7 linked regions of the Oryzias latipes genome follow. The protein of the gene in region 1 binds, or shares a complex with, the protein of each later gene. Links are inferred from orthologs where the notes say so. Each region holds a gene or a part of one and is shown in the gene's direction. Other genes may lie near its edges.

Region 1 (4,336 bases):
CTAAAAAACTTGAGTTGTGGTCCTACAACTATTTGTAGTTTTAACGGTTTACTCAACAAACTTGAAAAAAAGCCCAAAGGGATTGTTTGTGTTTGGAATTGGTTTCCTTATTTCATAAGTCACAAGATCTCCTTTGGATGTTGGCCAAAAAGGAATTGTGGATTTTACCATCTGAAAGAAGTGCTACAACATTTTTGTCAACGGCTCAGACTCTTTAAGACATCTCTTCAAAACAAAACTTATATTAGACTAACATTAGATAAATACACCTGCTGTAGATCTCATAGAACTCAGTTGTGAGAGTTTCTAAATGACACTATAATGCATCTTATAACTTTTTATAATTGTATTATAAATGGTAAATGGCGTATAATTGTACTGCGCTTTCTACCTTCCTTGAAGGCCAAAATCAGTCACCTATTCATACACAGATTCACATACTGGTTTCCTGGTTGCTGAACACTGGCACCAACCTTCCACCAGAAGCAAGGTGGTGTTCAGTTCAGCGTCTTTCCCAAGGACACTTCAACGGTAGGGCGGGTATCGAACCTGCAATCTAACGATCAGAGGGTGACCACCCTACCACGGCTGCCCATGTATGCAAGACATGACAGCAATAAACCTGGAGCCTAAAACTTTTACTATTAAAGTTTTTTTGTATTGTTTGATTTGCAAAATGCAGTTACAAAAGGCCATGTTTATAGTTTCTTGATATTGAATTATATTTTTCAAATAAATGAGTTTAAAAATACTGCTAAAAATACAAATGAACAATGCTGCATCATTTGTTTAGCACCTACAATAATAGATAAGGCAATCTGTGATTTGGAACGTGGCACATATGAAAAAAAGGAAAGGTTATTATTATTATTATTGTTTTTGTTGTTATTAATATTATTACTATTATTGTTGTTGTTGTTATTTCCAATATTTTAATTGTTGTTGTTGTTAATAATGTTGTTGTTGTTTACCAGGCAAAGGTCACAGACTAAGCAACGTCTCTTTTATTTTATATTATTTCTTGATACTGTCAACCTGGACTTTGATATCCTGCAAATGCAAAATAACTGGATAAAAGCAATGCTGAATTTAAATGTATCAAATTGTATTTAATTAATCTTTTTCGTGTATTTATTTAAACATGTTCTATAATGTCGTTTGTTAAATTGCTGCATGAATGCTGGGGCATTCATAACAGTTTTAACTTCGGCTTCAGTAACGAAATTACTAGAGATGGATGCAAGATTAGAATAGAATATTTTAGCTGATGACCGTTGTTTGATTTTTTTTCTATTGTTGCCAAAAAGAATAGAATATTTTTCGAATTTTTGGTTTGCGTCGTAACCCGGAAGTTATTCTATTTAAGCGCGTTAATATCACCGGAAGTGATTCTGTGCACGCGACTGTCGGCTAAAACGTTGTAGACACGACCGACGCACGAAAGAGGCTTTGGAACTTTACTAAACGGTTTTTATAAACCAGGAATCATGTTAGTATCTTCTATTGTGTCTCGATGTTGAGGGCAATGTTACTTTTTACGTTTAGCTGCTAATATGGAGATCGCACTATTAAGCTAGCAGCATTTTCCTTCGAGTTGGTGCTAGATCGCTTTGTGTGGCCTAGTGGGTGGTTTTTAGAAATGTGTTAAATTGGATTACATTGCAATTACTGCATTCTCAAATTAAATTGTTTAAAAAGTTACGTCCAAAGCTAAATTCTGTGATTGTACATCGCGCGAAAGCTTGATGGACGTACTAAGCCTCATTAGCTAATTGCTAATGAGACTGTTAGCTTGCTCTATCCATCATGAGTAAATGTCCTCGTTGTGCGATTGCAGCATTCATTCTTTAGAAAGTAGAAATGTTTAAGCTTCTGCAAGATGATATGATCAAAGTCGTCGGTTATAGACTCATTTTGTGTGAAAGCCAAAGTTTTGTTCTAAATATTTTGTGCGTAAAGAGCCTAAACTCTTTGCTGATCTCAAAGCACACACTGTTCAGAGATTGTTGAAAACTTCAAATGTATCTGGAAACAATAAATGTTCTGTGCTCATTTAAGGGTGGCGGGAGGCTTTAATGTTTTAAAACTTGATCCTTTTATAAAGTCTAGTATTTGTTGACCTTTATTTAGGTAAATTGTTTCTCTATCATCCAGAGCAGCCATTTTTTTTAAAGTAGGTTTTACTTCTGCCTATTTGTAGTGATCATTGTACAAATATAAAGAAATATCGAGACTAAAATGTACTGATTCAATTTATCAATGACCAAAGCATTTATTGTGTGTGTGAGATAATTCCTCAATAGTTTTGATTCCGTCTGATGTAATGTCTCCTGTACAATGGTTTTCTGGTTAATACTAGTTTTGCATGTTTAGTTTTATTTAGATATTTGGTTGTGGTCCATTTTCCTGCTTAAGCACCTTCTGCCTCTCAAATGTCTCTATTAACTGAGCACTTTCAGTCAACAGCTTCAGCTCTCATAAATGCTCTTTTGCAGGAACTGAGACTTTTTTTAGCTGGTTCCACTTTTCAGATGTCTTGCCTATATTGTACATTTTTGTGCTAACTTGACTTTATAAGAAAATGATCATTTTGTTGAGGCACACAGATGAAGCCAACTCTTGGATTCGCATTAACAGTAACTAATGCTTGTGTGTGCATTAAATACGAAAGTGTTGCGTTTGTGTCTTTATATTTATTTTTTAATTTAAAAGAATAATAATAAAAAGGCCCAAATCCAAATAATAGGCCGCCCAAGCAGTCGATGCTTAAACAGTACATCGTTGCTTATTTTGTTTGCTGTTATCACTAATTCAGAACTTGTTTAATCCACAGGAGTCTTCTAACGAAACCTAAGTCAGAGATGACGCCTGAAGAGCTCCAGAAAAGAGAAGAGGAGGAGTTCAACACTGGCCCTCTGTCGGTGCTCACCCAGTCAGTCAAGAACAACACCCAAGTCCTCATTAACTGTCGCAACAACAAGAAGCTGCTTGGAAGAGTCAAAGCATTCGACAGGTATTGGGGGGCTGCTGGTGTAGCGGAGAGAGGTTTAAGTGTGTATTTAGGACTTTTATATGAAGAGGAAACAAACACGAAGAGCTTGCATCTTGATTTAGAAAGTGTTGCTTCACTAAAGCATATTTTTGCAGTCTTTTTTTCTTCTTCTTTCCAGGATTTGAAATAACATGGCGCCTTACAGTGGTTTTATTCTAAAATGTTTCAATTATTCCCTCCTCTCTTTGACATATTCCTTTAATAGAATCAAGAATAAAATACATTCAGAAGAATTCAAATACAAGTAAAACACTAAATATAAGCTCACAAATGTAAGAGATTAAAAAGGCGTCCATAGCATCTCCTCCACATTGGGTACTGTGCCTGATGTGGGTGTGGGGTTTGAATGATTTCATTCTCTGAAGCATTGTTTTGTTTTTTTATCAAGTATGAGTTGAATAAAAAGCCACTTCTTAAATACTAAACCTGTTTTAAGGGTTAGATGTCAACAGCAAGATTTCTATATGTAGTCACTTGTGTAATAAAATCAAATTTTCTTACAAAGCTTAAGCAATGAAGAAGGGAGATTGCAAGATGTTTTATTTCAATAGTTCTTGCATTGTAATTTTCTGATCTTTTTGGTTTTTAAAAGAATAGATTACGTATGTGAGCAAATCCACCTGAGCACCCCAAGATTTCAAATGCCAGTGAGTTATTAGTATGAAGGTAAAAATGTGTCTAAATAGACGAGCTTGTAGATTTGGTGTGAGAACTTGTAATTTACAATGTGAGAACTTGCACACCAAAAATCTGCATCTGTGTGTAAAAATCTTCTGCTGTAAAGTCTGACAAACTAAATCAGAACTGACAAATTCCCATTTAGAGTTACAACCTCCAATCTGGGATTACAACTGCTCAAATGTGAATCTGCTGGCGCACATCACAAGTGCACAACAACTGCGCTCTGACTTCTGACACATTCCTTGTGAGAAACTTGTGTCAAAATTGATCTGTGTACGAAAACGGAACGGGGGGGACAATAGGGTCATGATTAGTCAGTACAGAAAGTTTGCTGACATTAGCTTTAGTATCTTTAGAACTATTGAGCACCTTTATTATGAATCATGTCTCTTAAAATGTGAAAAACTATATAAAATATATTAAACATGGAATTTCTCAGCAGGAAGTCCGAATCTGTGAAGATCTTTCTAACTTTACCAAGTCCTCTGAGTCCTGCACTCTGATTGGTTGACTCCCCCATCCTCTACACACACACACACACACACACACACACACAGAGTTCCAGTTTTCGGACACAGATCAGTTTTTTCCTTGTAGTTGGAC
Region 2 (4,429 bases), on another chromosome or scaffold:
CAGTCTTCTCAGAAAATCCAGAGGTTTCAGGTCTGAAGGTCTTTTCCCATCATCGTCTGTCCTCTCAGAGAAGTTTGTCCCGTTCTGAACCACGACATCGTGAGAACTTTGTTCTTCACAGTCCTCAGACAAATGAATCCCTTTCAGGTCTGACAGAACAGGGATCGACAGAGACTTCTTCAGGAAAATAGAGTCGTTGGTGTAAAGCCTATTTGCTCTCTTGATTTGTTCCATCTGGAAGACAGAAGAATGTTGTTGTTTTTTTTTTAAACTAACAAATGTCAGAATCAAAAAAAATTATGTCATAACATAAAACCAATGAATAGATTTTACTTTTAGTGTGGAAACAAAAGATGTTCCTTGTTAATATTTCAAATTGTTTTAATTGTCTAAAGTAGGGAGTACAAATCTGGTTTATTATACTTACAGAGACTCCATACTTCAGGGCCAGACCTTGGAGCGTGTCTCCGGACTGAACCGTGTGTTCAACGTGTCTCTGGCGGACCGGAGACGCCGGCGACGATCGCATCAAGCTGCCGTACGACATAGCTCGGCTTCCGCGAAGAAGACCGCCTCTCCCGGATGGCAAAGCCGCTCGTTGTCCGGACATATCCGATAATTATTTATGTGAAAATCATCAGTAACACGTACGCAATTTTAATGTTGGAACTGGTTTGACGTCGTCCTAAACTAGCAAGCCCAGTTCACCTGCTAGCTGCTAAAGTATCGACTAATTCATCTTCTTCTTGCCAAAGTGCCGAAATGGCACTGCCTGAACCTTATCAACAGTCGGGAATTGAAGAAAAACTACTTAAAACACCTTAAACATAGCTTAACTGTCAGTAAACAATCTAAAAACATATCTAAAAACTTTAAATATGTTGTTTTTTTCAGTCAGCTGCAGTCTGTTGCCATGGCTGCCGCTGTGAATGACGGCTCTCATTGGGTGGGTTGTGTTCAAAGTAATTTGAATACTGAAATTTAAATGAAAACATAACATTTTTATTTTTTTTATTTTAATCAGAGTTTGTTTAGTATGAATTAAAATTTCATTGATTAAAATAGGCAGTTTTTTTCCCCTTCGCGATTTATTTACAAAAAATATGTGATGTTATAAACATTTCACATCGATGCTTTCTTAAGAGTACATGCAAACAAATCAATTTAAATGTAAAATAATATTTTAACAATGGTTTGTTAGACTAGTTAACTTGACCATAAATAAATGAAATGGTACGATGGGAAACTGCAACGTGGTTAGCTGGAAATCGTGGACAAAAAAAGTGTACATGTTTGTCCCTGAATGCAGCACTACCAACACTTCCGGGATAGTGTGACGTATAGAGAAGCTAGCCCAATGAGTTAACTCATTGAGCTAGCCGTTAATCTGGTGTTTATACCATTGATTTACTTCGATATAATTATGTCATTCAAAAGGGAAGGAAATGATGGGAGCCAACTTAATATTTTAAAGGTATTTAAAATGATATAATACATTGTATTCATAAAAGAATAGGCTTTCTTAAAGTTCATACGCTGTCGTTTTTTATTTGTTTTGCTAGCTTAGCTAGTAGCAAGTTTCATATGGATATAATGTACACAGAGTAAATGAAAACTGTTTGGTAAAGTATTTAATGTAAATTTTTCATCTGCTATGAAATACTTACTGATGATTTGGGCTGTTGGTTTACAGAAACGGCGTGTATCTGACCTTTTGTCCAATTTTATTCCGGAAGATGAAGCTGCTCTTCTGAGTAATGGCAGGTGAATATAACTAAACCCTAAGTGTCAGTTTTGTTGTGAAAGTAACTCACCTTTCTGCGTTCGCTCCACACAGGTACACGTGCCTTGTGTGTTCGTATCGCCCAGTGTTTGACACAGTTGACATGTTGACAGTCCACAGGCAAGGGAAGAAGCATTTAGAAGGTAAATATCCTCCTTAAAAAGTGACTCTTAGTGTGGAAAATTTTTAAATTCCCCAGTATAAAAGTGTCTTGGTGGTCATATTTAGATGTAGACAAAACACTGTAGGCTCATTTCTCTCAGATAGTGTTTGCACATTTGGCCCCAAACAGATCTTCTGTGTTGTTGATGTAACAGGTGTGTCATATTAAGGCACTAATGACAGGAGGTGTGAGCATCATTCGCCTGACGTTCGTTGTTTTCCGACATTAATGCTACATAACAGAGTATTGGTAGAAAATGGATGTAAATGTCACTCCAGAATGGGTGTGACATGTAAATATGTCATATATGTTTTCTTATTTTTTAAATAAAGTTTTATTATGCATGTGCTTTTGGTGCATGCTTTTATATCCGTTGTGTTTTTTTGTTTTGTGTTTTAGGTTTAAAATCCTTTTATGGGAAAAAGTCAAAGTTCAAGAATGAAATTGCAAAAAGAAAACATGAAGATTATGTCAGAGCAGAAGACAAAGAGGTTTGGAGCTTCAACTTGATCATTTTACCTGCGGGTAATTTTGTATTTTGACCGACCGACCGACCGACCGACCGACCGACCGACGTACCGACCGACCGACCGACCGACGTACCGACCGACCGACGTACCGACCGACCGACCGACCGACCGACCGACCGACCGACCATCACACGAAACAATGACATGATGACCGACCGACCGACCATCACACGAAACAATGACATGATGACCGACCGACCGACCATCACACGAAACAATGACATGATGACCGACCGACCGACCATCACACGAAACAATGACATGATGACCGTGTGATGACCGACCGACCGACCGACCGACCGACCGTTTTTACAGAGACGACTAAATACTTAGTGTTATTGTGGTTAAATTTTTATTGTTGCTGAATTATAGTACTTTATTGACTTGTTTTGGAATGACAGTTGTAGAAAGGATGCACCTCCTGTACTCCTGTAAAGATATTATGTCGCTGCTTGTAACATGTTAAATATGGATATAAGAATAAGTCGTATTCTTGTGTGACATCCAGTACGTGCTTGTGGCTGCCACGTGACTCAGACAACCTGTAGACTCTGCAGCGTGAGTTGAAGCGGGTGTCTGCTGGTGGAAAACATGAGCAGAGCCGGCCAGAGGACACATGGAGCATTTAGCTGAGTTGGAGTCTGTCAGAGCTCAGTCTGAGAGACAAGTCTCTTTTGTTGTGATTGCAGGAGCCCTCCAGTTCGGCACCTTTACTGGCACAGACCCGGAAACTTACCCATCATGCTCTTCTGAAGACTGTTCCATACAACAGCTGCCACAGAAAAACCAGGTTGGTCATCATTTAAGGTTAAAATACTCATCTGTAGTTTAAAATGGAAGTAAAGATGTGAACATATATCTGTTTATTTATTTATTTTCAGTACAAAGTTGAATAAAGGACAGTCGAGCACTGCTGGAAACACATTTCAACACAATTTCCCATCTGCATGTTGGAAACCAGAAGTTTCTGACAATGCATCCACAAGTGATTCTAGTGATTGTTTCACAGGTAAAATCTGCTCCTAGAAATCATATTTTGATATTTTATTTAAAATAACTGATGGTTCTGTTTCAACTGATGCTTTTATTTTTATTTTTGTAGAGTCTTGTTCATCCAAAGACAGAATTCAGTGTCAGTCTGAGTCGAGACAAACGGCAGAACTCATAACGCCGCAGAGGCGAAGAGAGATGGAGCACTACCTCAAACTGAAAAGGTGCAAAACTCTCTTTTCCTTTTTGTCACCAGTGCTAGATTGAATCTGCAGGCCACAGAAACTATGTTTTAGAAACTCTTAGCTTAACAGTCCAAGCAGTAAACTGATAAAATGAGTGAAGTCCTCTGCCTCAGGCTCCACACCCAGCTCCTCTCCAGCATCTTCACATGCGGCCCGTTGAAATTATTCTGCTTCCTTGATTTGTTCTCTCACTCATTTATTTGTGTTTGCACCATTTCTGTACATTGTGATTTATAGGGTAACAAATATATGGGATGTACACAAGACTTGACATTTTAAAACATCTGCGTCCAATCCTGACATAAACAAATGGCACGCCTATCAACAAATAAAGTAATAAATCCACCAAATCTTAACAAAGTTCTTCAATAAACGTATGGAAGGTTGAGATAATAAATTCATAATTGTGAAAGTTTATCAAAATATGTCAAACTGGCTCCTACAGAGTTGATTTTGGTTTTCTCAGTTTTTATCTGCTTTGGTTTAAATACTGATGCTGAGGCTCAAACATTATGGCCTCATTCTACATTCTTTATGATTTTTCTTTTTTTTCTTTTACAGCAATGGCTGGTTACAGGACGGAAATGGACAGTGGGTCAAAGACAACAACGTGGAGTTTGATTCGGATGAGGAGACGCCGCCTTCATTTGCCCCTTCAGATGATTGCTAAAACACATTCTATGAGGAGACGGAGAAGAAATGTGGGAACTTTCCCTGC
Region 3 (4,416 bases), on another chromosome or scaffold:
GATGGTGCTGTCAGTTTACCTTCTTGTTGCATCTTCAAAAGTGCAGAATAAAATGTGACACTGAATTTGAAACAGCACATTGTAATTTCTGCATCTATTATTAAAGTATTTATTAGTAATACAGTGGAAATTAGTAGATTGGGTTAGAATGTTGATTTACGGTATGCGCCCCTAAATTTTCTGGTTGTGCCCCTAAAATTTTCAGTTGGGGGCCACAGTGCTCCCAGTGAAAAAAGTTAGTCTGGAGCCCTGTATATATATGCGTCACAAGGAAAATAGAAATAAGATCAGAAACTCGTGCGTTTACTTTGTCTGTTCTTTTCTCCAAGCAGAAACTCTCTTTTGCTGATGATGCAGCCGTGTTACTTTATTGATGGACGTATAATCTTCATACGCCGTCATTTAAATGTCCGAATCCGTCTTACTGAAGTACAGCTCTCTCTCTTTTTTTCTCCACACGTTTCCATGGTGACTCCAGAAATCGGCGATCCATTGAGAATGTTTTTATGTACCTGCTGTGCACGTGCATTAACCCAGGGTTACCAAGTGGAGCGTAATTATGCTAACTCATATCCGGTCTGTTGGAACCGACATACCCAGAGTAAGCAAGTTCAGGTGGATTTCAGCCAGAGTTCAGGGTTAAAGTCAGGGGAGTTTAAACATGACTTCTGGAATACCCCCCTGGTCTCTGTGGGGGTTTACTCAGGAACCTCTGGTTGGATCAGATCTTCAGACTCCCACAAAGAGGGGGTCAGAAGTCTACAGTGTTTGACCTCAAAGTCACAAGCTACTCCAAAATATCATTTTAAAGAACAAGCTCTGTTTCTTTTACATAAATTATGGGACACTAGAACTTAAGCTCATCTCTGGTTCTGTGGGTTTGGGCTATTCTGGAATTGAAGACGCCCTGTGACTACACCCAGCAATAAGAACCATACCATTTCTCCACTGAACCTCAGGTCTGAATCCAGCAGCCAAAACAGCGCCCCCTAGGGAGCAAAGTGGACGTACTTTGCTGATTATCTGACACACCTAACCACGAAACGTGAAAGGTTCTAGTTTGATGCTCCACTGGTTCCAGTTCAGTCAAAGGGTCTTAAAAGAATGAGGATGCTCTGGGTCACACGGATCAGTTTGTGTAAGGTTTTGGTTGACAACCACCTGTTTCTGTCATGACAGCCAGCTGTACAGAATCTCTGATTCGGAGGAAAGCCACGAGCTCTGCTCCGTCTGCAAGGAACCCAAGACCTGGAGATGAGCTCCGGACGTTTGACCTCCTTTCTGGACATCCATTCAGCAAATAAACAAACACCACGTGATCTGCAGTTTTACTTCTGGTTAGCAACAAATTAGGTTCGTCACGCGCTTTTACCAGTGAGCTTACCTTGAACGAGTGGGTAAAACGCGCGCTCGCGGAGCTCCACGACCTGTTGTTGAGACACAAGACGCGCGTATCCAGGTTTTTCCGGTGAACCGGAAGTAGTAGGTTGACCCGGAAGCGGTTACAGCACATATATCCGGATCATTTAGCGCGTGGAGGCAGCTTTGTCGGATTAAGGTGAGTTTACGAAAAAAGTAACGAAGCTGTAGCAGCAAAAACAGTTAAGGACTAGCACGCGCTCACAGCATCTAATTTATTCCTCCGCCGCACGCGCTTTCAATCAGCCACAGATTCCCCCGCGTGGATCGGAACCGGTTCCACTGCAGAAATTGGTTGGAGGTTCTAACTGTTGTGCAGCTTCGCCTGCAAAAAGGGTGATGGAGGGAAGAAATGTTCAGTGTTTAGTAGATGACGTCATTAGTACAGACTGAATGTCCGTTTGCCTCAAGAAACGCAAAACAAAGAAAAGACGTAAGAATAGGCTGGCATTTACGATAGGACAGGTATAAAACATCAAATTACCAAGGATAGAAGATTAAAACTACTGTCGACTAAAATGCTTCATCGTTTAAAAAGGCGACCGTACCAAAATCTCCAAATAGGGGAGGAGCATCTGAAAGAAACAGAGAAGTTCAGCCGGCTAACAAGGAATATTGTGTTTTTGTTTTTCATTTAACTTTATTTGTTTTTAATTAACTTTATTCATTTCGTAGACAAATGCAAACAAAGGGAGTCAAACGTACACATGTTAACATAAAATGATGGATTCCTAGAGAAGAAAATAATAGAATAACTGAATATGATAGAGCTTATTGATGCTAACAGATGTGAAGAATTTATGTCATGTTTACATTTTATTTCTAAGTATCACTTCGGGTTTGCTGTTGGGGACTTAGCTGAATATAGAATTTAGCAAAAAATTAATATTTTTATTAAAATATGAATCCTTTTTGTCCTGATTAAAATGATAGAAATCGAAAATAACATTCTCATAAGGGTGAAAATCAGTGCAGATCAAGTCAGTGATCGTCTTTTAGAGAAGGAGGCCAGGCGTCAATCGAGAGGGTCGGAGGGTCCTGTCCCGGGTAATTATGAAAAGCAGACCCGTTATGTACATTTTCAAGGCATCGTTTCAGATGATTTGAAACCACCAGGGGGGTATTCCAGAAAGCAGGTTATGCTAGCTCCCACGGTAAGTTTGAGGCTAAGGAAGTGGATAACCTCAGCTTTCTGTTCCAGAAATGGAGGTATGTTTCAGGGTAGGTCAAGTTGCCATAGCAACTCATGCTCTGAACATAACCTGGTCAGGAGCAGGTTTAGTTGAAGGTTAGTTTGTTTTTCAGAGATGTGAAGCAGCATGGCGTGTCCATTTGAAGATGATTTAGTGGATGAAGAAGCTCAGATAATACTTTTTCCACCATGAGAGGATGATAAGACCACATATGGATGTTGGAAAGAGAAACTTTATACTTTCATCTAACTTAATTATTTGCTTAAGTTAAGATGAATCTTTTTTGGAGTTCAGTCAGCTTAAAAATAACACGTAGTTATCAGACATTTATTTTACTTTCATTCAAATTGATTCAATGAAGTAGGTGTAACTTTGGTGCTGCTGTTAGATCTGCACCGCAAGGAATTGTGGGATACCATTCCCTTTGCCTGTCTGGACGGATTTGGGTTTAAGTGTGGGTTTTTGACCAAATGTGTTTAGTTTAGCTGTTTTACTGTGTTTTGTCTAGTTATTTTGTCCTGTTATGTTTAATTCTTTCTGCACCATGAGTGAGAGGGAGGAAGAGGCGGATGAGTTTATTTAGCACCACTAGTGCGCGTTTCCATGGTGACTCCAGAAATCGGCGGTCCATTGAGAATGTCTTTATGTACATGCCGTGCACGTGCATTTACCCAGGGTTACCAAGTGGAACGTAATTACGCTAACTCGTATCCGGACTTTTGGAACCGACATACCCAGAGTAAGCAAGTTCAGGTGGATTTCAGCCAGAGTTCAGGGTTAAAGTCAGGGGAGTTTAAACATGACTTCTGGAATACCCCCCAGGTGCAGAGATTGGGTTCACTTCTACTCTGTTGACGGCTACATTTTCTTCTGACCTGCGGGTTTACGACACAATTTCCAAACTCATCTCCAGAGTAAATATAAACATGTGAGCGGTGGAGGCGATGCGGCTCAATGGCTGCGGGCCGTTATCGTGTTGTGGGGATGGCTTTATAATAATAATTGTTATGAACATTCATCGTCTCCGCCTTGTTCTCACTGTCCACTTCTGTCTTGATTCACACTTGAGTTGCTCCTTTTTGGTCTCCTGAACAAAATCCGTAATAAACTGCATCTGGTCCAGAATTCCACTGCCCATATTGTCTCCAGAACTCCAACCTTTGATCACCCCCCCCCCCCCCCCTTCCTCCAGCAATTGCACTGGCGTCCAATTCAATTCAGACTCCTCCTCTTCCTCACCTTCAAATCCCTCCATAACCTGGCCCCTGTTTACCTCTGAGCTCCTCCAAGTTGACGCCTCCTCTCGTTTTCTCCGGTCCTCTTTTTTTCTCCAGCTTTCTCACATTGTTTTTTTATCCTATTTTTCTAAATGTATTTTTATTCTTGTTTTTACTGCTATGTACAGTGACCTTGTGTGTCAAGAAAGGCGTGTGTCATCAAATTATTATATGCAATTCTTAAGATGGAAAAATTGATATTAAAATATAAAAGGAAAAATTCTACTAAATTTGGTCAAAATTCATCAAATCCATTCAGAGCAGGCTTCTAATGAATTCCACTGTCTATTTGATGTCTGCATTTAATGTCTCCACCTTATACTTAAATTTAAGTGAAATGAAATTAAACCATTGGGTGTTTTTGCTGATATTTGTTCTCAGTCTGTTATGATATTTCAACTTATGGACAACAGAAGAAAACGTGTCAAGGATCCTCTGAAGTAGGCCTGCACAATATACCGCAAATTTATCGTTATCGCAACATTAAGCTGTGCAATATGCATACCGCAAAAGACGGCGAAAATCGC
Region 4 (4,526 bases), on another chromosome or scaffold:
TATCTGGAAAGAACCAAAACAGAAACGCAAAAGTGTTACATTTCCTCTAAAAGCAGCAAAGTAAGAAATATGTCAGTCTTACGTCTCCGTCGAGGATGGTACACCTGGATGTCAGGTCGCCGAGGCTTTTTGGGGGTTGTGGTGCGCCTGTGCCGCTGAAGCTCTTTGGCTTGCTTCACTTCTTTATCATAGTCATCTCTTATAAAGAAATTGAAATATTTTCTGATTATTTCTTAAAAACATAGCAAGTTGCACAGTTGAATAAAACACAGAGCATCTTGGTCATGGCCATGAACTTAAAAATGTTCCTAGGTCTGTTTACACATTGGAGGATAATACTTTTTTTAAAATTTTATTATTTTAAGGCAAAACAGCTTTGTTTTTCATACATCAAAGCAATTTAAAGAGCCGCACAACAAAGCAACATTATTATTGCTGTTCTTTTAGCTTTATAGTTCATCTTTCAAAGTTGCCTAAATAAAATCAACATGTTAAAAATCCGTTTTAAATGATTAAATAAAGAGTGAGAGTGTGGGAATTAAAACAAACTTTTTTGTTTGGACGTAAATCAAAATACTTATCATACATTATTGTAGCAGCTTTTTTTAAGACCAGACAGAGAGCAGATGCTGTAAAACAGCCCAACTCAGCGTATGTAATTTATCAAGGAGGAACTTTAAAAGTTTTACACACCAAACCTAAGTTTATATAATAATCCACTTTTAAATAATAAATTACACTAATAAAACATAAACCGAATAACTTAATGCTCCTTTTAAAATTTCAGTCAGTCCAATAGGGTTTTGCTTCTACTGCTTTAAAGTAAAAATAAACTTGACTTTAAGCCTTTTAGGTACTTTAAAAAAATGTTATTTCACTGTCTGCCATTTTTAAAAAAATCATTTCACATCAATCATGAAATGACAGCAGCTACAGATTGACATTTGACATCCCAAGTAAGTATGCTAACTCGGCTAACAGCAAAAAGGAAATCACCTGGCAATCTGGTTCCTCCGAATATGATGAAGGAAACCGTGGCTCATGTCCAGACGGCCCCCCGGTTTGTACTTCAGCTCATGCACTCCTTCATCTCTTATAAGATCCATTTCAGCAAACACTCTAGAAAGAAAACACAGCTAAAGAAGAACAAGCAAAATACTAACAAAAAGCTAGACAGCTAACGATGTATAAATGGATGTCCAACCGTAGCGTTCCCGGAGTTTCTACAAATTAATTTATTGCGTGTAAGTCCTACAATGCACATTGAACTAAAATATAAACTATTTTGGTTATATTTCTGTGACAAAAAAAGAAACTGAAGTATACAAATAAATAAAATATATTACTTAGAGTTTACATGGGGGTAAACATTTATTTTTTAAACTCCGGGTTACGTTTTGGTTTCCCACGCCATTACCACCGACGTACAACCACCGCGAGTTTCGAGGAGCTGAATAATATCCATTCATTTCCTCTCGTAAACCTTCAAGTTTTGTTAATTTTTGTTTCGTTAGCAAACCGTTTGCTAACTTATAGTTACAAGAATGTCTTTAAAGCGTGAAAGGGAGGAAATAGAAGACGACGAGGATAACGAAGACGAAGGTATGCTGATTTGTCTCTTACGTCCGTTTTTCGTTTTGTTAGCCAGCCAGAAGAGCATTTTCTAGCATAAAAAGTTTATATTGTGTCAGTTCCATTCTACACCAATAAACTGATGGTTTCACATGTAAGACAAAGACAATCAGCATATAAAAATATATGTAAAACCTGTTTATTTTAAAACAGAGATCGATTAATAGAAAAATCTTAGCTTGCTAGCAAGCATGTTTTGATTGCTAGTAGTTAGTTGTTCTCGTAAAAATGAATTCCGTTTACGTCTACTGAGCTTTATCGTGATTTGCTCTCTTTTGCAGTGACAGTCAAATTTAGGCGAGGACGTGTGGTTGAAGACCGAAGAAGCCGCCATTGTCCTTACCTGGACACCATAAACAGGCAAGGAAATGTTTGAAAATGTATGCTAAAGCTAGTTAGCATTCTTCTTGTAATTCAGTTTCTTCTCGTCTTGCAGGAGTGTTCTGGATTTTGACTTTGAGAAGCTCTGCTCCATTTCTCTGTCTCACATTAATGTTTATGCCTGTCTTATTTGTGGGAAATACTTTCAAGGTAGACATATTAGCACATCAAACGCACATTGTTATTTTCCTTTTTAGATGACACTAAACATCTTTACGTTTGCATTCCTTGTTGCAGGCAGAGGTCAGAAGTCTCATGCCTACACTCACAGTGTCCAGTTTTCTCACCATGTGTTCCTCAACTTGCACACACTCAAGTTTTACTGTCTGCCAGACAACTATGAGATCATTGACTCATCGCTAGAAGACATCACAGTAAGTAATGCAGTAAATCTGCTGTTTTTCAATGTATAAATGAAAAGGTAATTGCTCTGGGGGGAAAAGTAAACAGTTACATGTTAAAATTAAACAAAGTTTTTTGTTTTTCTTCTAGATATGATTGATAGATTCTTTTGCTCACATTCCTTGTTTGTCAGTGTAACACTTCAATAGTTTTCATTAACATATTCTGTGTTTAAAAATAGTTTTAACTTGTGAACCCAGAGTACATAAAAATGTGTTCGATATTTATATATTTTATACAAGGCCAATGTATTTGATTGCATAGTATATTTTATTTACTATATTTTGCACATAAGTATCAGTACTAGTATCTAAAAATAAGTTATTTAGCAATGTCTTAAAGTATACTTTTTAGAGTTTTGGCTGTAATTTTAATACGTCTTTTTTTTTTACATTTCTTTTTTAAATTTTTAATGTTTTATGTTAAGTAATTTTTACCCCTCCTTTTTTTATTTTTTGTAAGCTCTTGCTTTGTGTTGGTAATCTTGCTCTTTTTTTCTTTAGTATGTGCTGAAGCCGACTTTCACCAAGCAGCACATTGAGGGTCTGGACAAACATGGTAAACTGTACAGAGCCTACGATGGTACAACCTACCTGCCAGGGATTGTAGGGCTTAATAACATTAAAGCCAACGACTATGCCAATGCTGTACTACAGGTATGAAACCCCGCTGATGTTGATTTTTGAGGCTGTGGCATCAACTTAAATAACAGGGGGTTTCATATTGTACTTTTGTTTTTAGGCTTTTTCCAACGTCCCACCTTTGCGAAACTACTTCCTTGAGGAGGAGAACTACAGAGACATCCGGAGGCCACCAGGGGACATCATGTTTCTGCTGGTGCAGCGGTTTGGGGAGCTGATGCGCAAACTTTGGAATCCGAGAAACTTCAAGGCCCACGTGTCGCCCCACGAGATGCTGCAGGCTGTAGTCCTGTGCAGCAAGAAAAACTTCCAAATCACCAAACAAGGTAACTATTTTGTGGCCTGTGGAGTGCTGACATAAATAGGGCCATGTAGGCTGAGATTTTGGGCAAAAACCTCATTCCATCAATGAGAGCACTAAAGATGAAACATGGCTGGATCTTCCAACATGACTGATCCCAAAAACATAACTCTGGCATCAAAGAGAATCTGTGGAGGGAGTTTAAAGTATGTTTCTCAGCAAAAGCCTCAAAACATTACAGCTCTGCATGGAAGAATGGTCCAGAATAATAGCTATAGTGTTTGTAAACCTGCTTAAGACCTATGTTTGACCTTTGTCATAGATAATCATGGTTACATTACAAACTATTGAGGTGAACTTTTGTTGTTGACCAAATTCTTATTTTCTGCACTATTATACAAATACATTCTCTAAAAATCTGACAATGTGATTTCCTGGATAATTTATTGGACATTTTATCTCTCAGTTGAAGTATATCTATGGTAAACATTACAGACCAAACTCAGCTTTTTGAGCGGGACAACTTGCAGAGTCAGTGGCTGCCAAATACTTTTTTGCCCCACAATCTTTAACTCACTGGATAAGTTTGTAGAGTTTGCTCAATGTTTTCTGGTTTGCAGGTGATGCTGTGGACTTCATGACATGGTTCCTAAACGCCATGCATGGCGCTCTTGGAGGCACAAAGAAGAAGCCATGTGAGTCAGAAATTCACTCCTAGTTTATAGTAAATCTGTTGAATTTCTGAATTCATTTATTTGATGTGTAATTTTCTCTTTTATTCCAATGTAAGGAGTCTATTTTAGAGCCAGTGCTGGTTGTCTGCATGCAATGTCCTTCAATTTAACTGGTCTGCTCTTTGTTTTCACACAGCAATTCTTACAAAAGTCTTTCAAGGCTCCATGAGGATTTTCTCCAAGAAACTACCACATCCAGATTTAGTAAGTCTCTGTTTAGCTTTTATTTTAAAATTATATGACATAGCAAGTTATGCCAGCCAAAAAAATATAAAATCAAGCCAACAGATAAATCAAAGGCTGTTTTAATCAAAGCGGTGGTTCCTTCTTGGCTTTTTGTGTTGTACTTTATTGTTGTGTTGAAGCTCATGGTTATATCTATGTGTAAATTCCTCTTTTAAATATTTTCCACTTTAAAATATCCATAGGTAGTTC
Region 5 (3,027 bases), on another chromosome or scaffold:
CTCTGACTTTCCCTGACGCGGCAGATTGAAGGCGTCGATGCAGACAACGCTCGAGTGGTTGTGAAGCTCGCCGTCGGGGGCAAGACTGTGACACTCAGCCAACACGGCGTGAGACTGGTCGGACGAAAAGAATACGACAAATACAGCAAAGACATCAGTGAGTGTCCTTTCTCAGCTGCATGGATTTTTCTCCTAATCGCCTAAATAAATGGTCAAACGCAGAACTATTGTTCCAAGACTTTTCCTTTATTCATGTGGGCAGAATAAAGCACAAAAGGATCAGACAATGTGTTCTTTCTTTTATTTGCTTCCTTGCAACAGGTCGCCTCAGTAAAGCACACAAGGAGAAGGAAAAGGAGAAAGAAAGAGAAAAGGAGAAGGAACGGCAGAGGCAGGAAGAGAAGGAGAGGAGGAGCAACAAGGAGAAAAGCAGAGCTTCAGAAAAAGACGAACCAAAGGAAGAAAGGAAGAGGAAACACAAGGAGTCCAACCAGGACAGGTACAGGTCCATGAACTAGAACCACAAAGTTCTACTGCTTTAGGACATAAACCAGAGGATGAGTCTCCCTGTTTCCAATGTAGAGATAAGCCTCCTGTGAAAGAAGCCAGACAAGCAGCGGCGCCCCCCTCCTGGCTCCAGAGGGACCTCAAAGTTCGCTTTATAGACAAAGCTTTTAAAGGGGGAAGGTTTTACAACTCCAAGGTACTAAAATCACAGTGTCTGTCTGTCAAGTCAGCTGGTACTATCAAATTAAAAGCCTCTATGTGTATCAATGTTAGCAGAAAATCATCTGTTACTGTTGTACCTTCAGAATAGGAAAAAAGTTTCCGAAAACCTGCTAGATAAATCTGTTTTACTTTCAAAAATCCTCCCTTTAAAGATCAGAGCCAGTGATGGCTGTTTGTGTTGTCATCTCAACTTTTGCACATTTGTCTGTAAACAAAGAAAAAAAAGTCTGACTCCTGTCAATCTCACTTTCCTGTAGATGCAAGTAGAGGATGTCCTGACGCCATTCACCTGCGTGTGTCGAACGGAGGAGGGCAGACTGTTAGATGGTGAGTCTTCTAGGCTCTGTCCATGTCGGCCTACATCTTTTTACTGAACAGGTTTGCTCGCAGAAGAAGCTCCGATAACACATGAACTCACTTTCCTGAAAAGCTTTTCTGAGAAAAAAGGTCAGATTCAGGAGAAGATAGGAGGAGTTTCAGGTTTTCCCTGGAATATTCTCCAAACATGCTCACATTGTAGGTGTAAGTTTTATGAAAAGAAGCTTTCTCTTCAGTGAAAATGTATTTACTGTTTGACCTCTGACCTGCGCTCTCCTAGATGATCAAGGATAAATGCTGAGCTGACAAACTTTATGGACCTCTTTAGCGTCAAAACACGGATTTAAGTTGATTTTGTTTAGAAATTCTTTTACTTTTCTTTTACACTTTTAAATGTTACAGTACTTCTAAATGTTTAGGTGATGAAAATGTAGATTATGTGGTTCCAACTTGCAACAGGTTTAAAATCCCACTCCGATCATCTTTTGATCTATTTTCAAAGCGTTCCCAGTGGTTTTATAATTAGGATTATGTCGTTGTTAGCCCAAACGTAAAAATCAGTGTCGTTTTCTTGGACATAGTTTGTGTAGAGCGACAGTAGTCCATTAGATATTCACCCGAGTTGTGGACGGGACCATTGGGATGGAGCTACCCCACCCCCCTCCTGCTGCTGAGAGCTCTTTGTTTACAGTGTTTTTTCTACGGATTAAATTTGATCTTTTTCCTGATTCACAATTTGAATCAAGAAATACAAAGGGTCTGATGATGCTTGGTGACTAGGTGATCATTTTTGTCTTGGTTGCTGCCATGGCAACCATGGCTGCAAATCTCTCTGGTCATGAACGCGTTTGTCCTCCATGTGGCAGATGTGAAGCAGGACATGCTGGAAACCATCATCCCCAAAAGCGATGGCGACTCTGTGATGGTTGTCCTGGGTGAGCACAGGGGGCAGGTGAGCACAGGTTTTGGGTTTTCCCTGCAGCACACAGTCCCGCTTGCCTGCGATGGACTGTCACTAATCGCTGTACGCCTTCATTCAGGTCGGCCGGATTCTTCAGAGAGACAAAAACAAGTGCAAGGCCACAGTGCAGCTCAACCGATACGAGGAAAAGCTGTTCACGCTGGATTATGACTTCATTTGTCACTATGTGGGAGCAGAAGACCAGTAAGAGTTTCTTCTCTCCTCGTTTCATCCTGTATCATTGTGAAACTTGTGTTCTGACATGCATTTAAAGCTTTTTTAAATAAAAAAAACCTCAGATGTGTATTTGTACAGGTGCAATAAAAATCAATAAACAGAGAAAAACCCAGATTCTTTTGTCAAATTTATTATGTTCATTAATTCTAGAGGAAACAAACTCATCTGCAGGTGTAAAAACATATTTACAAGTTTTGACGTGAGGATGCTTGGGACACTCAGAACACGTCTAAAGCGAGACCCGTCACCACAAAAACGGAAACCAAAGCACGTCTGCACGAGCTGCTGTCCTGACGGGGATCCTGCTCACTCCTTGGGTTGCTGGTTGGCCGCGTTGGCCCGGAGCACGGCTCCAGGGCTAGGATACGGCCGCTGCTGGAACAAGGGTCCGGCTGCGGTGGTGTCGGCACCCGTCTTTGCTTCATTTCGCTTGGGGAGACCACTGGACCACGACCCCCTAAGGACAATGAATGAATTCAGTTTTTTAAAAAAATCATCAAAATGACAGAAATGGATTCTACTTTCTCCATAAACTATTGTACCTTTAAGGAAAAATCTAAACACTTTAAACCTCTCCAAAAAATATATTTTGCCATCAGGGAAAATATAAAAGCATTATCCTACAATAATTGGCTTTTCAAAATAAATCTTTTTTAAAAAAGAAGTGTGTGAAGTTGGAATAAAAATGTTGCCTCAAAGCGGTAGTGATCCCTCTGCTGCAATTAGCTTCACGATATCGACTGACATATCTGCACTGTCAGCAAGTTTCTAACCTGCATCTC
Region 6 (4,411 bases), on another chromosome or scaffold:
GAAAAAAACTTACTTTTTTCTGTGTTTCTTCCTTGCCCTGCTCACCGTGCAGTGATTTCCTCATCCCAAAAGCAATGCTGCTCTCAGACAAGTTTTGGTAGGCTCTTATCATCATCTGCATCTCATTTCTGACCCGGCACAACAGCAGACCTCTCTCCGCACATTCAATGGTTACCTGTCTGATGAGTTCATCTCAAAAAGGAAATAAGATGCATAATACATTTATATTTCATAACTATCCACATTTTTACTCGGAGATGAGCTTTGTCCCGACCCTCCGCTGTCTTACCGAAACACTGGGAAAACAGAACCCAGCGGATGGGGCAGATGCCAGTTGGTTTGGCCTTTTTCTGCTTTAGCTTTATGTTCAGCTGCTCCTGCAGATGAATGACATCTTTCCTCGTGGTAATGGCTGTAGATACTTTCTGCACCCACTGTTGGTCCCCCTCTGTCCATTCTCTGTAATGGTAAGAAATCAGAATTTACTTGGAAAATCATTTGACAGTAACTTTTGGATGCTTTCGGGATCTTAGATTGTGTGTCAGCTTTTTATTTTTGAATTAAGTAAAAAGCAGACGTATGTGTGATAATGCACCTGTGGGCAATATTTGCTGTCAAGACTTGATCTTTTTAAGTTGATGAAAGTTGGACATTCACTGAGCTACAGGACCTTTCCTCTTTTCCTTGTTAGACATTAGGATTTGTTGGTGATCTTTGGATCACATAAAAACTACATTTGTTCCAACTGTAGCTGTTCCACTGTGTTGTTTAAAGTTTTTTGAGTTACATGGCATGAAAAGCATCTGTTTTACAAAAAAAAAGCCTGATTTTATTTGATTTCCCAGATTTGACTTTTGAGAAATAAAAGTTGAGGATGGTCATTGTGCTCTGGTGCATGCCACAGTCTATGTTTGTCTGCATAACTTAGGAAGAAGAATAAATAATAATGAATCTAGAATAAATAAATCTGAATCGTTGTGCTTAGGTGAGCTTTTGAGGTTTTCTTTTACCTAGGTGGTAAGATGGCATGCAAAATGTTTTCATCCAAATTCTGTGTAGGGGGAGATGGAACACCTGCTGCAAAGCTGGGAGCTGGAAGGTTGCTCAACGTTAGAGTACGTCCCTATTAACGAAAAAAAAGGGGGGAAAATTGTACATTTATTTGTATTATTATTTTTTTGTAATTTCTTTTATTATTTTTGAAGATTTTATTTGGTAGCCTTTCATTGTCCACAATAAAGAAATTATGGAAGTACAATGAGATTTCTAGCCTTAATTGATATAGTTTCTGGGCGCCAGTTAAATAGATCATTAACCATCAAGACTTACCTTTTGAGATTTTTTATCTCCTTTTGTTTTTACCAATATCGGATTATCGTATTTCAAGAGGGACTCGCCAAAAGAAGTCATCGTTTTGAGGTGAGAGAGCAAGTTACACGTTTTGTTAGAAATACCGTTTCACTGTTTGTGTTGTCATGGCGACACTTTTTCAAAATAAAATAATATTGATTTGAACAAAGTTTCATTTAAGAATACTTTTTATGTAATACGACACGTATATGTGTCATCAATGCTTCAGTCTATGACAAAAAAAACTTGAACATCACGTTTTCCCCATTTAAAACGAATTAGGCCATGGCGGAACCAACAATAGGGAGCACATGGAGCACGTCGAGGGGATTAATTTGAGTCACCGGAAACGGAAGTTTGTTTTCACAACGCCAGAAGTTTGGTAACGCATCAAAGGTTTTATTTTTTATCTTGGCTTGTCTTTGTCTAGCTACTGTGTCGTGTTTTGGTTGAATTGAGCTCAAATTTATTGGAAAAATAAACTAAAATGACTAAAGAAAAGCGAGACAGAAGAAGGGAGTCTCCAGAACGGCAGCCCGAAGTGAAGATAAAGCAGGAGAAACTGAGCCCGAGTAGCACTAGCAGGCCACACAGATCACGCAGTCCACAGGGGAGACGAGCTAGCAGGTAAATGTCTGAAGGTTTTACTACGATTCATGACGTAAAACTGTCTAAATATAAAACAATTCACAACATTATTTTTTTGTTGTACTTTCGCTGATGAAAATCTAGCTTCCGGTTTTCATTTTTGACGGTTACGGAATAAACACTTAACGTAAGGGATACCCGGTTGCTCCAAAAGAGTTTTGATCTGAGGTTTCTGTAAATCAAATAATCCTTAACACGTTTGTGTCAAAAGTAGTATAAGTATCTGACTCGTATCAAGTAAATCTTGTTTATTGTTCTAAGATATTTTATTACCGTCTTGCTGATAAATCAAGGTTAGACTAGAGACATAAAATTTGCTTTAATTTTTTTTTTTATTGAAATATACTCATTACAAAACTCTGGCAGACACAACAACACAATGATGCAAGGCACAGCTCTTCACGAAAAACAAAGATAAAAAAAAAACAAGAATGTATACATATATAAAAAAAACTATCAGCATAAATTAAAATACAAGGCAATCAACAATCTGGACCCTAGATTTGTAACCATTCTGTAGCAGATTTACAAATGTCATCAATGAAAGAATTTGAGTTGTGAATACATTTCAATGAGGATAAATACAATCTGACTTCATTTTTAAAACACAGGAAATTCGGCCGATCTTTTTTCCACTTTTGCTTATGAATATATTTTCCCAAAATCAGGAGGATGTTCACTATTTGTTGGCTCTTTTGGCAACTTACTGTTTTAAAACAAAATATGTTTTTCTGTGAATTGTATGTTGTTAATTTTTTGACTAAGCCAATTATGAAAATCTTGCCAGAATCTTTCACTGGTCTGGACATGAAAAAAACAGGTGTTGGGTTGTTTCTGGGGTTACCTGACAGAAATCACACGGATCAACCTCAAAGCCAAATCTACTTCTCAATGTCTCTGCCGATGGGTAATAATTGTTTATAATTTTGAACTGCATTTCTTTAATTTTGGGAACCACTGGCCATTTTATGAATTTCCATAGTTGAGCATCTGATGTGACAGGTGTCTCAGTTATTTTATATTTCACTTTTCTGTTAAAGTCATGGTATAATTTACCTCTAAAGGATTTGTTTAGCAATTTATTATCACGTTTTTTTTCACTAAATTTTATTTCTCCTATTACTAAATTTGGTAGTTTAATTTGAACATAGGAAGACAATATTGTATTTTTTATTAAATGTATTGAAGCAATTGGAATTGCTCAGCAGGTTTTCTGAAATTCCTCGGTTGAGCATTCAATATCATATTTACCTTTGAAGTCTCTTAACTGAAGAATTTCTCCATTTGAATCAAGAATATCACTTACAAAATGATCTTAAGATAAATATACTTTATTGATCCCAGCTTGGGAAATTGGGTTGATGCAGCGTCGGCGTTAGGCTCAAGGTACAAACATACAAACAATAGATGACAACAGAGAACCAGAACAATTTTATTTATTTTTTTATTTGAAATGGTTTATTTCAAGCAATTAAGTAGAAATAATACACAACAGCAATATAATCATCAGTTATACATTCATACAGTAACTAATCAAACTTAGGATAATTATACATATTAATAAATATTGCTTGAAAGGGAGTGGAAGGAAGCGAATTTATATAATCCCACCCCGTTATACTGTAACCATTTTATTACATGATTTATCAATATCCGGTTCCCAGTTTATATCATACAGAATTAAAAATCATAAGATATCGATAAAGCACATGACAAAGATGAATTACTTAAGTATTACGTCAAAAATAACTATTTTAGAAATCAACATGGCAAATGCAGATCAGTCATCTGAAATATATGCAGATTATGTTACTTATAAAAGCCATTCATATGAATAAAACATAATACTATATCAGTAAAGTAGACACAACACTGTTTCAGGAATTTTCATAGCAAAATTTCATCAAGTATCAAAAGTTAAAAACATGTGCAAAATTATGCTACATTAGGAAAGATTTTTGAATCAATTTATCAATTTTTGGAGAAAGTGAAATAAAATCATTAAAAGGCAATCAATTTAACAATTTTCAATAAGTCATTAATCATTTGTTTTACTTTTTTAAATATTTTTTTTGTATTTTTATTATTATTTTTTTTATAATAAAGTAATGCTGTAGGGGGAAAGTAAAAAGGGTCCATAACTGTCGATTGTCCAAGGTTGGTCTTTCTTCTTTAACTGATAACAGCCGTACTTCTGGGTTCAAAACAGAGTTTATAGTTCTCTTCGATGTTATGACTGCAGACATTAGATTCAGGTCCATATCCTTCTTCAGCTGATATCAGCGACGGTGAAAGTTGAGGTCAAGTTGTCTGCAGGTCAGAACTCTCTGCTGTTATTCAGGTGACGTCAGACATACAGAGAAAGTGGGGAATCCACGTGTCATATTTCTTGAAATTATTTGGCTCTTTGGTT
Region 7 (4,407 bases), on another chromosome or scaffold:
CAGAGCAATGGAAACTGGATGACTGTTAGTTAAAGAAGAGACGAAAGGGGTGGTTGATAGAAAATGACAGGCAGGAGTGAAGGATCAAGGACTTAGTAGGGAAGTTGAACATTGGGAATTTTATATGGAAAAGTAGGGAGTTGATTGACATGAAAGAAGCAAGGTGGACATCCTGTATGTTGAAGACAAAGATAGAAAGAGACCACAGCTTAAAGACTGGAAGCAGGTTTGAGCTTTTTTTCTTCCTTCGTGGATGGAAAGAGGAATGGAGGAAGAATGATTATAAAGAAGGACTTTGCGAAATATTTTCTGGAAGTGACCAAAGTGTCAGATAAGAGACAATCGTAGTAGCAATTGAATGTTGTTTGGCTTAAGGTTGTGTCCCACTGCCGCTAAGTACAATTTGCACATTGTCCAAAGGTGAAAATCATGATAGAGCTGTGAAATTTTCTCACAAAGAATCACATCTTCTCTTACTTTTTCCATGTTTATTCACATAAGACCAGTTTTTATATGTCATGTGTGAATATACGTGGAAAAAGTAAGACAAGTTGTGGTCTTTGCCACTAAAAGTTGTAGTCTCTGCAGAAGACTTTCACAGATGTATCACGAAGGAACCACGTTAAAACCATGGAAGAAGTATGAATAAACCACGCAAAGAACATGCAAATCCGCAGTTCATTGAATCTCCCCGCATAGGGAGATCTGCAAGAAGGGACAATCGCTTCTCCAGAGACGCATCCGGCCCCCTCACACGATCTGCCTTCCGCGAGACCTGAGCATGAGACCTAGACTCAGTAGACTGCTGGAGGGGTGATTTACCCGTCACACATGCAGCCAATGGTATATGAATAATGTGTAATTTTTGACCTGTTTGCAATATTTTGTATCATTTTTGTTATTAATTCTTTTTCTGCTTTGAACATTGGACATATTTGAGCTGCAGTGTATTCTGCCAAATCACAAAGTTTGAGTTCTTTTGACTATAGCCTAAAGGCCTAATACATTGTATTTGTGATCAAGCTAGCTTTGTAAATAATTTGAATTCCTGTTTTTCATACTTCAATCCAGTAATAAAAATATGCTAAAATAAGTTACAAATATGTCACATGAGTTACATATCTAACACGTGCTTTCCAGCTTAGTTTGCCATCAATAATAACTCCAAGGAATTTATATTTTAAATTATTTCAAATCTGGCAAAGATTAAAGGGCTAATAAAAGGCTCAGCACTCAAGAATTCATTACCAAGGAGTGTTAAAAAATATTCAACCAAACACAAGTTCCTTGTTGCACACAGTGGCTGCAAGTGCAACATCTACATTTTCAAAGCATGTTTGCGTTTTACATTCTCAGATTTCTGCATTATCAGCGGCATATTATAACACTAGTAAAGTTACAAAAGGAGTAGGTTTGATTGATTGGATCTGTTGGTTTGGCGCTTGAAAACATCCATACGCTAGGGGGCGTACGCGATCCTCAAGTGTTGTGACGTGTTAGTAGAAGAAGAAAAGCGGCAGTAGTTTGTCATGCGCATGGCGCTAACCGAACAATAATTTATCCTAATTTCAGAACAGGGTTTTATTTTGTGCTGTATAAATATTTTGCAGTAGTTTTATCCTTAAATAAAGGTAAGTGCAGTCAGCTTTATGTGTGGTCTCAGCAAATTATGTCTTTGTCTACGGTGTGACGTATCTCAGACGTTGATCCATTCATTTGTACGCTAGCTAGCTAGTTTGGTTACTTGTTTTTTGTTGCGTGGATCGAGAAAGCTCAATAAACTTTCGCAAAGACGATAAAATCCGAAACTTTTCATCAATTGATTGACTTTTTTCATAATCTAAATGCAGGAGTCGCTTAAATGTTCAAATTGCGGTCTTATTAGCATTAGCTGTTGTGGCCACAACCGGTTCATAATGTTTTTATTTTTTTATTTTTAAGTGAAAATAAAAAATAAACGTATTTTGCAAATATTTGAAATACAGTTGGAGATGTTAAACCTTTAAAAAGATACGTTCTATTTTTTTAATTACCCATTGAGAGTTTTCAAGCTTTAAAACGCTACGATCACTGCTACGTACTAACTAGTCTGACAAATTAGGGTTTCCTATTGCTTTCAAAACTTTTAACCCATTTTGTTGTTGTTACATACATGTTTTAGTGTTTCTTTGTAATTGTTTAGATATTTGAAGATGGAGGCTGATCTGTATGACGAGTTTGGGAACTACATCGGTCCAGAGCTGGATTCTGATGATGATGAAGATGACGTGGAGGCAGAGGACAGAGATCTAGATGAGGTTTCTTTGGCTTTCCCTCTTAGTTTTGTGAAATGTATAGGTTTCCTGAGCATTCATTTGTGCATCTGCTTCTACAGCGTGATGATGATGATGAAGATGAGCCTGCAGATGCTGAGGATGATACCCCAGGCATGGAGGTGGTCCTCCATGAGGATAAGAAGTATTATCCGACTGCAGAAGAGGTTTATGGGCCAGAGGTGGAAACTATTGTCCAAGAGGAAGACACACAACCCTTAACAGGTAAAGTGAACCTTTGACTTTCAGCTCAGGGATAGTAATAAAAAACTTTGGGCTCTATTCACAAATTGTGTCAAATCATCAACTCCTAATATTTCTTTATAGCTGACATTTTTCCTAGGGATGTTCAGATAAGGTTATTTGTTTGACCCTGTTCTGATTCTGAGTCTTTTTATTTTGAGAATCTGCTGATCAAATAGTTTTGTATAACATAAAAAATAAAATAATAATAATAAACAAATCCCGGTTGCCCCCAATTTTTTTGTAGTAACACTTGAATAGAGCAGTTTTGTGAAGTAGCTTGAACAATCAAGCAAAAAAATGCAAATATCAACTAGAAAAAAATAACTAAATAATAAGTTAAAAAATAGTTAACTGTTTATTATTAAAAATAGGTAATAATTGGTTAAATGATTAAGTTTGGGGACCGTAGATTCAGCATCTGCTTCCGAGCAGATGAACATTTTTGATCTGATGCGATTCATATCCATTAAAATATCCTAAAAATGAGGAACGGCTTTCTTCCAAAATCATTATTTCAGCATTAAAATAATGATGTGTATTCATGATCCATACCCACGTAACAGTCATTTCGTTTTGGTTGTTTTTGACAGATTATGGAGTTTTTGTTGTTTTGTTGATCACCTTCTCCTGCAGCTTGCACTTTGGAGACGCTCCCTTAGCAGTCGTCTCTCCGTTGAATTCTCATTAAAGGGCACATTTAAAAAATCCCCAATATTTTTAAACGCCCTTGCAGGTAGTTGTTTGTCATGGTTCTGTGAACCAATAGAGACATTAGCTCTCAGTTTTAAACGTTTATTAAAAGTCATTGAGCTCAAACTCCAAATCTGTGAATATTTTGCTAACTTAACGAACTGTCTTTGTGCACCTCCTACTCAAACCTTTGTTGTATTTTGCTGTGTTTCACGGCAACAAAACGTTGTGATCCTTTCGTGATATGCAGACTTCTAGAAGAGCATTTAGTTGAAATAATAAGCTTAAAATATATAGTGCTAATCAAAATAATGGTTAAATATCCGATCCCTGATTGGTATGCAACATCTGATTCTGATCAAGTCTGAAACTACTTCTTCATAGCTGGAAAACAGGAGCTCTGCATTTTATTGCAACTCTTTAACACAAGAACATTTTTGTCTTTTTGTTCTTTCTAGAGCCCATCATCAAGCCGGTGAAGCACAGGCGTTTTGCTCTGATGGAACAGGAGCTGCCTGCAACAGTTTACGACATGGAGTGAGTTTCTTCTGAAGAATCTCAATGGATTCCTAATGTTCCTGCTAAGTTAAAGACGTTGCATATTTTTTCTCTCTTTTTTGTCTTCATGATAGTTTATATTTGTTGTACTTAAAGATATTTTCTCTTTCCTCCCCATTTTTGCAGATTTCTTGCAGATCTAATGGATGGTCCCGAGCTGATCCGAAATGTCACACTCTGTGGTCACCTTCATCATGGCAAGGTTAGACCGCGCTGCCTCACAGAGGCTTCTGACTTTAAACTCTGTGAGTTTACATTTTGTGTTTGCCTCAGAGAAATCTAACAAACCCATTTCTTCCTTTTAGACTTGTTTTGTAGATTGTCTGATTGAGCAGACACACCCAGAAATCCGGAAGAGGGATGATGTAGATGTACGTTTTTCCTTTATTTTACAAAAAAATGTGAAAATGATTCTACTGAATTGCGACTTGAATGGTTTGAGGTTAACGTGATTTTCTATGTTTTAAGCTCCGGTACACAGACATCCTCTTTACAGAGCAAGAGGTGAGTTATGAAATGGAAATATATGCACAGCAGAAGAAAGTTAAATGATTTGGTTTATATTTCGTTTCATGTCTCCCCTCCGTCTGGAACTTTTTTC

The links.
Region 2: snrpd2 (region 1) and scnm1 share a complex: the UniProt entries of both Homo sapiens proteins name them as parts of the minor spliceosome. The link is inferred for Oryzias latipes from reciprocal best matches to the Homo sapiens genes SNRPD2 and SCNM1.
Region 3: snrpd2 (region 1) and prpf4 share a complex: the UniProt entries of both Homo sapiens proteins name them as parts of the U4/U6-U5 tri-snRNP complex. The link is inferred for Oryzias latipes from reciprocal best matches to the Homo sapiens genes SNRPD2 and PRPF4.
Region 4: snrpd2 (region 1) and usp39 share a complex: the UniProt entries of both Homo sapiens proteins name them as parts of the U4/U6-U5 tri-snRNP complex. The link is inferred for Oryzias latipes from reciprocal best matches to the Homo sapiens genes SNRPD2 and USP39.
Region 5: snrpd2 (region 1) and gpkow share a complex: the UniProt entries of both Homo sapiens proteins name them as parts of the minor spliceosome. The link is inferred for Oryzias latipes from reciprocal best matches to the Homo sapiens genes SNRPD2 and GPKOW.
Region 6: snrpd2 (region 1) and snip1 share a complex: the UniProt entries of both Homo sapiens proteins name them as parts of the minor spliceosome. The link is inferred for Oryzias latipes from reciprocal best matches to the Homo sapiens genes SNRPD2 and SNIP1.
Region 7: snrpd2 (region 1) and eftud2 share a complex: the UniProt entries of both Homo sapiens proteins name them as parts of the minor spliceosome. The link is inferred for Oryzias latipes from reciprocal best matches to the Homo sapiens genes SNRPD2 and EFTUD2.

The regions. Positions count from the first base shown.
Region 1 is NC_019871.2:25,537,673-25,542,008, reverse strand, and holds the start of snrpd2 (small nuclear ribonucleoprotein Sm D2), read left to right. Parts: upstream 1-1,358; 5' UTR 1,359-1,487; coding exon 1,488-1,489; intron 1,490-2,833; coding exon 2,834-3,013; intron 3,014-4,336. UniProt on the Homo sapiens protein: Plays a role in pre-mRNA splicing as a core component of the spliceosomal U1, U2, U4 and U5 small nuclear ribonucleoproteins (snRNPs), the building blocks of the spliceosome.
Region 2 is NC_019874.2:27,121,764-27,126,192, reverse strand, and holds the start of scnm1 (sodium channel modifier 1), read left to right. Parts: upstream 1-1,331; 5' UTR 1,332-1,423; coding exon 1,424-1,474; intron 1,475-1,693; coding exon 1,694-1,764; intron 1,765-1,837; coding exon 1,838-1,926; intron 1,927-2,345; coding exon 2,346-2,437; intron 2,438-3,165; coding exon 3,166-3,266; intron 3,267-3,357; coding exon 3,358-3,485; intron 3,486-3,578; coding exon 3,579-3,690; intron 3,691-4,272; coding exon 4,273-4,381; 3' UTR 4,382-4,429. Other genes in the region: lysmd1 (lysM and putative peptidoglycan-binding domain-containing protein 1), read right to left, coding at 1-234, 428-610. UniProt on the Homo sapiens protein: As a component of the minor spliceosome, involved in the splicing of U12-type introns in pre-mRNAs. Plays a role in the regulation of primary cilia length and Hedgehog signaling.
Region 3 is NC_019870.2:3,930-8,345, forward strand, and holds the start of prpf4 (U4/U6 small nuclear ribonucleoprotein Prp4), read left to right. Parts: upstream 1-1,465; 5' UTR 1,466-1,558; intron 1,559-4,416. UniProt on the Homo sapiens protein: Plays a role in pre-mRNA splicing as component of the U4/U6-U5 tri-snRNP complex that is involved in spliceosome assembly, and as component of the precatalytic spliceosome (spliceosome B complex).
Region 4 is NC_019867.2:12,332,797-12,337,322, forward strand, and holds the start of usp39 (U4/U6.U5 tri-snRNP-associated protein 2), read left to right. Parts: upstream 1-1,429; 5' UTR 1,430-1,544; coding exon 1,545-1,602; intron 1,603-1,913; coding exon 1,914-1,992; intron 1,993-2,068; coding exon 2,069-2,163; intron 2,164-2,250; coding exon 2,251-2,387; intron 2,388-2,918; coding exon 2,919-3,071; intron 3,072-3,156; coding exon 3,157-3,382; intron 3,383-3,977; coding exon 3,978-4,052; intron 4,053-4,227; coding exon 4,228-4,295; intron 4,296-4,526. Other genes in the region: c9h2orf68 (UPF0561 protein C2orf68 homolog), read right to left, coding at 1-3, 83-198, 997-1,106.
Region 5 is NC_019865.2:21,314,710-21,317,736, forward strand, and holds the end of gpkow (G-patch domain and KOW motifs-containing protein), read left to right. Parts: intron 1-24; coding exon 25-157; intron 158-321; coding exon 322-499; intron 500-582; coding exon 583-703; intron 704-986; coding exon 987-1,056; intron 1,057-1,913; coding exon 1,914-1,999; intron 2,000-2,087; coding exon 2,088-2,216; 3' UTR 2,217-2,310; downstream 2,311-3,027. Other genes in the region: pqbp1 (polyglutamine-binding protein 1), read right to left, coding at 2,552-2,702. UniProt on the Homo sapiens protein: RNA-binding protein involved in pre-mRNA splicing. As a component of the minor spliceosome, involved in the splicing of U12-type introns in pre-mRNAs.
Region 6 is NC_019874.2:23,603,836-23,608,246, reverse strand, and holds the start of snip1 (smad nuclear-interacting protein 1), read left to right. Parts: upstream 1-1,533; 5' UTR 1,534-1,661; coding exon of another isoform or gene 1,662-1,732; 5' UTR 1,733-1,837; coding exon 1,838-1,977; intron 1,978-4,411. Other genes in the region: dnali1 (axonemal dynein light intermediate polypeptide 1), read right to left, coding at 14-192, 290-459, 1,011-1,123, 1,330-1,410. UniProt on the Homo sapiens protein: Required for pre-mRNA splicing as component of the spliceosome. As a component of the minor spliceosome, involved in the splicing of U12-type introns in pre-mRNAs. Down-regulates NF-kappa-B signaling by competing with RELA for CREBBP/EP300 binding.
Region 7 is NC_019866.2:5,489,124-5,493,530, reverse strand, and holds the start of eftud2 (116 kDa U5 small nuclear ribonucleoprotein component), read left to right. Parts: upstream 1-1,477; 5' UTR 1,478-1,631; intron 1,632-2,161; exon of another isoform or gene 2,162-2,182; 5' UTR 2,183-2,192; coding exon 2,193-2,297; intron 2,298-2,374; coding exon 2,375-2,537; intron 2,538-3,706; coding exon 3,707-3,785; intron 3,786-3,932; coding exon 3,933-4,008; intron 4,009-4,111; coding exon 4,112-4,177; intron 4,178-4,274; coding exon 4,275-4,310; intron 4,311-4,407. UniProt on the Homo sapiens protein: Required for pre-mRNA splicing as component of the spliceosome, including pre-catalytic, catalytic and post-catalytic spliceosomal complexes. Component of the U5 snRNP and the U4/U6-U5 tri-snRNP complex, a building block of the spliceosome.